Saccharomyces cerevisiae S288C: one gene and its partner. Changing the gene in region 2 together with the main gene of any one other region gives a genetic interaction. Each region holds a gene or a part of one and is shown on either strand. Other genes may lie near its edges.

Region 1 (4,542 bases), on a different chromosome or scaffold from region 2:
CATCTGGCAAAATAACGAAAACAAAAGAGCAATCATATTCAATAGTAAACAACTTTTCATCATTAGTAATAACGGTTTGAGTGGTAACTCTAACTGTATCAATTTCGACTTACCGACGAGAATCGTCTGTTACTGCAGACACCACAAGGCAACTAACGGGTTTGTAGTTTTGTTCCTTCTAAGGGACCATAACGGCGATATCTTGGCGAAAACTATAACAGATCCCATAATGATCATGGACAAGAAAAATGCCAGCAATACCACAACTCCAACCAGCACCAGCAATGCCCAGGTTTCGCCAATGACAAATGACACTAGATCCTTTTCATCGCCGCAAAGTGACTTAAACTTCCCATCCGAATTCCCCCTGCCTTCTAACAGTAAAAATTTTGTCATTTCTACGAACTGTATGCTTGATAGCAATTGTAATAACAACAACAATGATAATGATAACAAAAACAACATTAAGACTAATACCGCAATGATGAACAACAACAGACACTTTCCATCACCAAATTCCTCCAGTGAGGACAGCAACCATTCTTTTTCAGATATTCATTTTTCTAATAACAACGACAACAATTTACATCGTTCACTAGACTCTTGGTCGTCCACAGGTTTTAATAGTTCATCTAATCCCGCTCTTACTACATTAACTAGTGATTTCAGTGCGGCCTCTGCGAGACACACTGGCAAGAGGCAGCGTTCGGTAAACGAGCCTTTTATGTCTACGCCTAATACGTTTTCCCGTCTTCCCCAGAAATTCATCGATTCTTCCAAAGATATATCGAACCATAATAGTGTCCCCGTGGCGCTAAATAACAAGCCTTCTATTCAGCGTGTCATCCCCGCACAAGGTTCCATCAACGGAGGTATAGAAGTGACTCTACTTGGCTCAAAGTTTAAGCAGGGCTTAATCATCAAGTTTGGCGAAAATATAGCATTGTCCAGCCAATGCTGGAATGAATCTACGATGGTGACTTATTTACCGCCTTCATCTAAACCTGGACCGGTTTTGGTAACCATAGTCGACCCAAGTGAAACGTCTATGAGAAATAATAGCAATAGTAGTGTTTCCACCAGCAATAGTACCAATGACATTCTGCACTTAAACAAGTATACCGGTGAGAAAGCAATCTTTACTTATGTTGATGATACTGATAGGCAACTAATTGAATTGGCTCTGCAAATTGTGGGGCTGAAAATGAACGGTAAACTGGAAGATGCAAGAAATATTGCTAAAAGGATTGTTGGCAGTGATTCATCTCCATCTAATAATAACGCAGGATTACACTCACAGAATAGCTCTTTAAATTCGTACACGAATATGATGCGAAATATAAACGATGAACAATTGATCACTGAAGTTATTAAGTCATTTAAGAGAAATAATAATCTCTCTACCGTCAATCTTTCCATGTGTGACGTTAGGGGTAGAACTCTATTACATCTGGCAGCATTCAATAACTGGTATAGTCTTGTCTCATTACTAATCAAATATGGGTCGCATTTGAACGACCAAGATTTATTTGGTTTTACTCCGCTACATATGGCGTGTATTAATGGTGACTTGAGAATTATAAGACTATTGTTAGAATGCAACGTTAATATTATGAAGAAAACCAGAAACGGCTTTATCGCTAAACAGTTCTTCCTGATGAATTATACTGTCAACAAGACCAGATATTCTAATTATGAAACCAGTCTGTTTGACGACATTCTGACTAGATTAACGAAGAATACAACAGGATCCAGTGATACTCAACCGTTTGAGAGAAATGTATCCCAGTCAAGTTTCAACTCAAGTTTATTTGATGATGACGATGCTGATCATGACTATGTCCAAGAAAGAAAATATTTATTGGCGGATTCCGCTGCCCTTGCCCCCGAACAATCCAACTGTAATGACAATACGTCATTCTCAATCCTAGATTCGGATTCAGGTTATGACATAAGTGATTGTGAATCATCTTCAGATGAGATTGCTTTGGAGTTCTTTAACACCCACAAAATCAAGGACTTCTCTTCAAAGCCAAATGAAATACCAAAAACTACTAAGACTAGCATAGAGCCTGACGGATCTTTATGGAACAGAATGCTAACTCGTTTAAATGACGAGCTCCCAAAGTATGAAGACTTGTTCCCAAAAAAACCCAAAAACTGGGAACTTGGTAGCAAATCTGTGGAGATTGGGCCAGATAATTCTGCCCAAATGACCGTGGATGATTCTCAAACTTCTTCTGAAGACGATGAATTAGAAGCTTTACAGGTCGGGTTCAACACAATCTTTTCCAAGAAGCAAAACTTTCAGAATGATAAGATGCTCCTATTCTTTTGGATCCCCTTAACTTTAGTACTCTTATTATGTTTCACATTATCGAATTTGGGGAAAGATGATGATATGTTTCATAATTTATCCAAAATTGTTCAGGAATATTTAAGAATTGGTTTAGCCAAGGTACTACTAGGCAACGAAAGGATGAAAACCTCTTTTAAAATGCAGTTATCGAAGTTTCAAAACAATAACATTCTAAACGACATGCGAGTCAATTAAAGACATTTTTCTAGCTACATAATCCTTACACTATATAGATTCATTTTTTATTATTTTGCATTTTTGAATTTTATCTTCTTTATGTTACTGAATACTACTTATACTGTCTTCATTTTTTTTTTGCTTAGAATTATAAAGTTCAAGATCAAGGCCGAAAATTTTTTAGAACATGAAAAATTGAAAACTCATGGTACCTCATCTCGAAAAGATCCTAAGGGCCAAGTCAAGAATTCGTGTAGAAAAATGAGTGCTATAGGCGACAAGAACCAATTTCGTATCATTGTGGGCTCATACGAGCACAACATTTTGTGTTTATCCTTAGATATCCCAAATCAAAAGGAAAATGATGCAGCAAAGACACCACATTTTATGCCAATATTTCATTTTCAAGCCCATTCGTTGAGTATTAAATGTTTGGCTGTTTCAAGAAGATACCTAGTTTCTGGATCCAATGACGAGCACATCAGAATTTATGATTTGCAAAAGAGGAAGGAACTGGGTACTTTGTTAAGTCATCAGGGCTCTATTACTGCTCTACAATTCTCACATCCAGCTTCTTCCAGTGAGGATGCTGCTGTTTCAAAGGGGAGCAAGAATAGCAAATGGTTATTATCAGCATCAGAAGACCACAAAATTATGGTTTGGAGAGTAAAGGACTGGGAAACAGTGGGGACTTTAAAGGGACACACGGCAAGGGTTAATGATGTGGATATTCACCCCACCAATAGAATTGCCATCAGTGTTAGTGATGACCATTCTATACGTCTTTGGAATTTGATGACTCTAAGAAATGCTGCTGTACTAAAACTAAGAAAATATAATACAAACGGGACTTGTGTTAGATGGTTAGGCGCCAAAGGTGATTATTTTGCCGTGGGTTTAAGGGATAGGGTGCTTATTTATGAAACTGGATCGGCTAAAGTTTTTAAAGAAATAGTCTTTCAAAGGAAAACTCTTATGCATATTGAAACACATATTTTACCATTCGATAATAAGGAATACCTTTCTGTTGGTATCAGCGATGGTAATGTTCATTTCTATCCTTGTGAGGAGTTATTCGAAAAAGTTGAAGAAAATGAAAAGCAGGAAGATGATGACGACAAGGAGGATATCAGCCCCGCTTTTTCTTTATTGGGTCACACAAACCGTATTAAAGATTTCAAGTTTTATACGAATGAATTTGGTACCTACCTAGTCACCATTGGTTCTGATGGTAAAATTGTCGTATGGGATATGTCTACAAAAGAACAAGTAGCAGTCTACGACTGTGGCGAAAGGCTAAATTGCTTAACGCTATGCGATGAAAGCATTGAGAAATACAACACAATGAAGAAGAGGGATGCTGAAACAGCTGATATAGGTGACCAAAGTGAGGTGGAAAGTGATACCGAAGAATTAAAGAAGATAATGTTTGGTGAGAAGAAGAAACTCAATAAAAAGAAGCGGAAGCAATTGAAGAAGAGTAAAGTATCAGTAGAACTTGAATAAACGCCTTATACATGCGTGCAGCTCAGAATTGTTGCGTACTAAAGTTAGTTTATATGTATAATATAAAATAATTTATCTTAATCGTTAAAGATGATATGAAGTTTTGTCTTTATTGCTGTCATTGTTATATCGTTATTTGTGGAAAGGCTACACATTATTACAAGTCATCAAAAGCCACATCAAACTTGAAATCGTCAAACAGGGTACTTATGAGAAACCCCATGTCGCCTTCGGAGCAACATTCACAACATAATTCTACATTGGCCGCCTCGCCATTTGTTTCTAACGTATCTGCAGCAAGAACACAACAGAGTTTACCAACCGATGCTCAGAATGATCGTTTGCAGCAACCCTGGAACAGAACCAATACGGCTACGAGTCCCTACCAGTCGTTAGCAAATAGCCCTTTAATACAGAAGTTGCAAGCGAATATTATGACTCCGCACCAGCCATCTGCTAATTCTAATTCTAATTCCAATTCCATTACGGGCAATGTTGTG
Region 2 (4,521 bases):
CAGTGTAAAACTTTTGCATAGTTAAATATGCCGAACTGATCTAATAAAAAGTCTGAATAACTCAGATGAGTTATTTATTGGTAAACTTGTGTAAGAAGAAGATGGAATAGTGAATAATTCATCAAATGATGAAATACCAATGCAACAGAGTCAAGCTCTGAGTTTCAAAAAGAAACATGGACGAGATTGCTTTTTTATTACTGACCATGATTATTCATTACTTACCATTGTTCCTCATTCTATATAATTGATTGGGCACCACGTAAATTCTTGAGCCTTTTCGGTAGTATTCAATCGCAATATGGGGTAGTTTACGGAAGTGCTGTAAATGATGTCTAAAATGAACAACTATGCGTCCTTATTGTGACAATGAATTCCCTTCTTAAATCTCTATAGAGGTCGAATAGATGAATACTCAACACAAAACACTATAAAATAAAAAAAAATACAAAAGTGTTTATATTTTTGCTGTGCGTGCTAGCTCATAGCACCCTTACTTGTACGCTATCAGACGATAGAATTAAAGAGACACTTCGTCTGAATCCACTTATACTCTTTGTTTTAAAAGGTACTGCACCTTCTATGACCTTGATTTGCGTAACTTTAAATCCATATGACTAAGTATCTTCCAATCAGCTGTTAAATTGACTGATGGCCATCAAAATACATGCTAAACTAACATATGGACTGGCCCTTTCACCAACACGTGCCATTTTCCAGAAGGCCCCCAAAACCTCATGATTTTTGTAACGATCTAGGAGAGACGGCCACTGCCCATGAACATAAGAACATGAACAAATCAGTAACAATATCACTTGCAGAAGAGAACGAAAATTAAATAATGCAGACATATTCTGTCGTGGAAAAAGGACGCAACTTTGCAAAGTAAATCGATCCGGCTCTCTAGTTATTTTGCAAACGATGTTTACCGCTGTTCTGTCTTTATCCTTGAGTTGTCGTTGCTCACTCTATTGAAGATCAAAATTTCGCTCAAGAAGAGCAGTCCCACCATGCGTACACCACACTACAAAAATGAATGTTATATCGTTTTTTCATGAATTACAAATGTCTATCGAAAAGTTCATTACTAAATATAATAAGATCAGGATCATTAAGAGATAAATTCACTGTGTCAGGTTACTTCCTGATAAGCTGAAACAAGTGGGTTCTTTCCTTAAGATAATGTTCAAATTTACTAAAATCTGTAATTTCAAGAACGTCAAAATTTCTTTTAATCTTGTTGAAAAAATGTTTATCAGCTTTTCTTCTCTTCTTGTAAGCCATCAAGATTACAGGTGGGTTTATGCAGTGAGTGAGATCAAGTAGTGTTTTTTCTAGTAATGGAAAAGCTTCCTCGAGATACACACAATCAGCTGCCAAAACTAGATCAACGTTATTTGCTTGCATAGCACCTTCTTGAGGTGAGAAATCTGCCGACAGCGGCTCACCCCACCAAAGTTCCCTCGCAAGAACTTCATACTGAACTTCGTCCAGTTCTATATTTCTTTTCAATAGTGGTATCAACTTGTCAATGTCCGTAACATATACTTTAGTGCCATCGTGGAATGTGTTTTTTTCCAACAACCCCACGCACAATCCAACTAAACCTGTACCACTACCCAATTCTAAGACTTTTTTAAATTGTTTCGTACCATTGACCGTCTTACTTAGCAGATGGTCAACTGATTTCTCGAGTATGTACTCGCACAACAGTTCGCCAGCGATCCAGACTTTACCGCCACAACCACTTTCACCGCCATCTTCACAAATTTTCAATGCAGGCAATAATTTTCCACCGAAGGAAAGGTCTGTTTGACCGAGATGCTCCTTTGGCCTAGGAACAACTAGATCTCCAAACCCACCAAATATACTCTCCATACTCAATACCTCACTAGTCGCGTTTTTATAACGTTCTAGGGAAAATTATGGGCCATTTTTTTACATAGAGCCTGCTCATCATAACTTTTGAATTATTTAAATACGAAGAATTACTTTCAGTGTTTGGGTGTGAGGGACTTTTCGTTTGGTCAAGCCAAAAAAGCTTAAGAGAAAAGAAAAATCTCTTCTGGTTTTACTTGACTAGGTTTCCAAATTATAATATCCGTATTATTAACGTGACACTCAGTATTCTCCATTCGTTTACGGGAACGTTGATATGTAAACATATGCAGATCCTCGTATTTTAGCAACGACAGGGAGAAACAAGAAATGAGATAGGATGAAAAAAAATAAAAGTTAGATATTTCTATTTAATTAGAATTCCGCGTAATAAATAATGACACGCTATTATAGTTCATGTATTATTATCCATTACAGGACTATCCTCTTGAATTACGGGCGTATCCAACCTTCTTTCAAGTTCTTCTTCAGTTGAACACAACGAAATGGAATCGGCCAAAAATGCCTCTTTGGCCATAAAATCGAAGTGTCCAACCAAAAGCTCCATGTCACGTTCGGTATTCACGGATGCTGTTTCGTAATTTTCAGGATACACTAGTGCTGTTTTGCCATCATCAAGGATTAGGTATTGAGGATTCACTACTAACGTATGCTTGAGATGTGGTTCAAAAAATCTCCTTAGATCTTCGGCAGTATTTCCAGCAACCAAATTTTGAACCAAAAAACCATTTTTCTTAGCCACCTCTACTTTAGGTTCCGTATCTTGAACCTCGAAGTTGATTAGTTTAGCTGTGGTGCGAGCTTGAAATTCTTGTGCTTTCCTTTCCTTCTGCAATTGTTTAAATGATTCATATAGTGGGTAAGCTTCTGCTAATGATAAGACTGGTTTATTGCTTGCGCCATTATCTTCTTTCTTAATAAATACAGATCTCATGGGCTCTCTGTCCTGAGACTCGGAATATAGGCCGTAAGCTTTGGCTAGTTCACGGATGAAGTGGCGTTGAGGAGGCCTCATAGGTTTGAAATGCAAGCTTGAACGTGTTTTATCGTCCATTAATTTATTAAGAATAGCTTCAATTTGTGAACACCATCTTTCTTGCTTTGAATATACTGATAATGCTGCCTCTGTAAACGGTAACTGCAGTTCTTCAAATGTTGTAGCAACAGAGACCAGTTTTTTTAACGCATCTAGTTCATTACTTGTAAAATTATTGGTTTCTTCCTTAATTCCAAATGCCTCCTTCAATTCCTTTAGTCGTTTCAAAGCTTCACATTCTTCATTGCAATCCAGCACGGAAGATTCAGTTACACTTACTCTATCACTTTTTGCGCCACAAGTAACACTTTTTTTGATCCTTCCACATTTACAATAAATTTTCACTAGCGTGGCACAAGGTAAATCGGGACACTCTGTCTTACCATGGCACGGTTTAGGACATTCATGATTACAATTGAGCCTTTTTTGCCCACAGGTCTGTTTACACACCTTTTGGCAATTTCCTGGTAAATGACATGTTTTTTGGCAGGTATGATAACAGTAAGAGAGTGGTATCCCACATTTTATTCCACATGATACGTCTGTTTGAAAACAAACCGTTCTCACTTTAGTTTTCTTCCCACATTTACAAGGTTTAAATACGGTTTCCGTACATGGCGGGCACGACACATCCAAGGAATGACAGGTATGTGGCATTGGTTTATGACCACACGTAGATTCGCCACGCACAACTTTAATACATGGATGATTACATGTAGGTAGCTTCGTGCCACAACGCACGGGTGCAGGAACAACTGTATTGCCACATGGGCAGACCAGATCGTTCGAATCACTCTCTAAACAGGGCGGACACTTTCCTGGGTGACATTTTCTCTGACATTTATGAATTCCACATGATAGGGTCAAGTTACACGGTTTTAGGCAGATATGTTTTGCTTCCACAAGAGACTCATCCAACAAATCTTGCGTTCTGAACAAGTTTTTCTTCCTTCTTATCGCCGATGGCCTACCACTGCAGCACCTATCGGTGCATCTATGTCTACGGCATGACATCAGGGATTCGCATTTAATATTGCAGCGAGGCCTTCCTTGAAATCCACATGGAACTGAAAATGTACTTTGCTCACAAGCACATTTTACACTATCAATTTGCAAGCAGGGTTCCATACAGGCTTTATCATGACAAGTGAAGGGGCACGAATGTTTGCCACATTTTAGTGGTTTACCGCATCTTGAGTCGCAGGTTGGTATCGGATCATCACAATGCTTACGAGGCTTAGTCAGTTCCTCTAGGGCTGTCCGGCCACAGGGACAAGTTTTCAAAGAGCTAGGCAAAAATGGGCATGCCTTTTCTCCATTAATTGTGGGTGGGCTTATGCAAGATTCTATGAATGAATGCTTGCGACATGAGTAGTCGACAACTCTATTATCTGCACAGGCAAACACGCCTATCCACCTGTTCCCATTTTCATCCTTCGACGACTTACCGGACTTGGGAAACTTTGTTTCACTACACTTTATGTTAGCACGAGTGTGGTTACCACAGTAGCATTTTATTTGCTTTTTCGGACTATCTTTACTAATTATCATTTCTGGACATGGCCCACATAAGCCAGGGTGGCATT

What was found. Genes that interact genetically often act in the same process or in processes that back each other up.
Region 1: mutations in EFM6 (region 2) and MAK11 together harm fitness more than expected from each alone (negative genetic interaction), as found in Saccharomyces cerevisiae (one large-scale study listed by BioGRID).

Annotation. Positions count from the first base shown.
Region 1 is NC_001143.9:396,844-401,385, reverse strand, and holds MAK11 (Mak11p), read left to right. Parts: upstream 1-2,635; coding exon 2,636-4,042; downstream 4,043-4,542. Other genes in the region: SPT23 (Spt23p), read left to right, coding at 1-2,554; anaphase promoting complex subunit CDC16, read left to right, coding at 4,138-4,542.
Region 2 is NC_001146.8:585,970-590,490, forward strand, and holds EFM6 (putative protein-lysine N-methyltransferase), read right to left. Parts: upstream 1,879-4,521; coding exon 1,138-1,878; downstream 1-1,137. Other genes in the region: KSH1 (Ksh1p), read right to left, coding at 633-851; FAP1 (Fap1p), read right to left, coding at 2,294-4,521. UniProt on the Saccharomyces cerevisiae protein: S-adenosyl-L-methionine-dependent protein-lysine N-methyltransferase that methylates elongation factor 1-alpha (TEF1 and TEF2) at 'Lys-390'.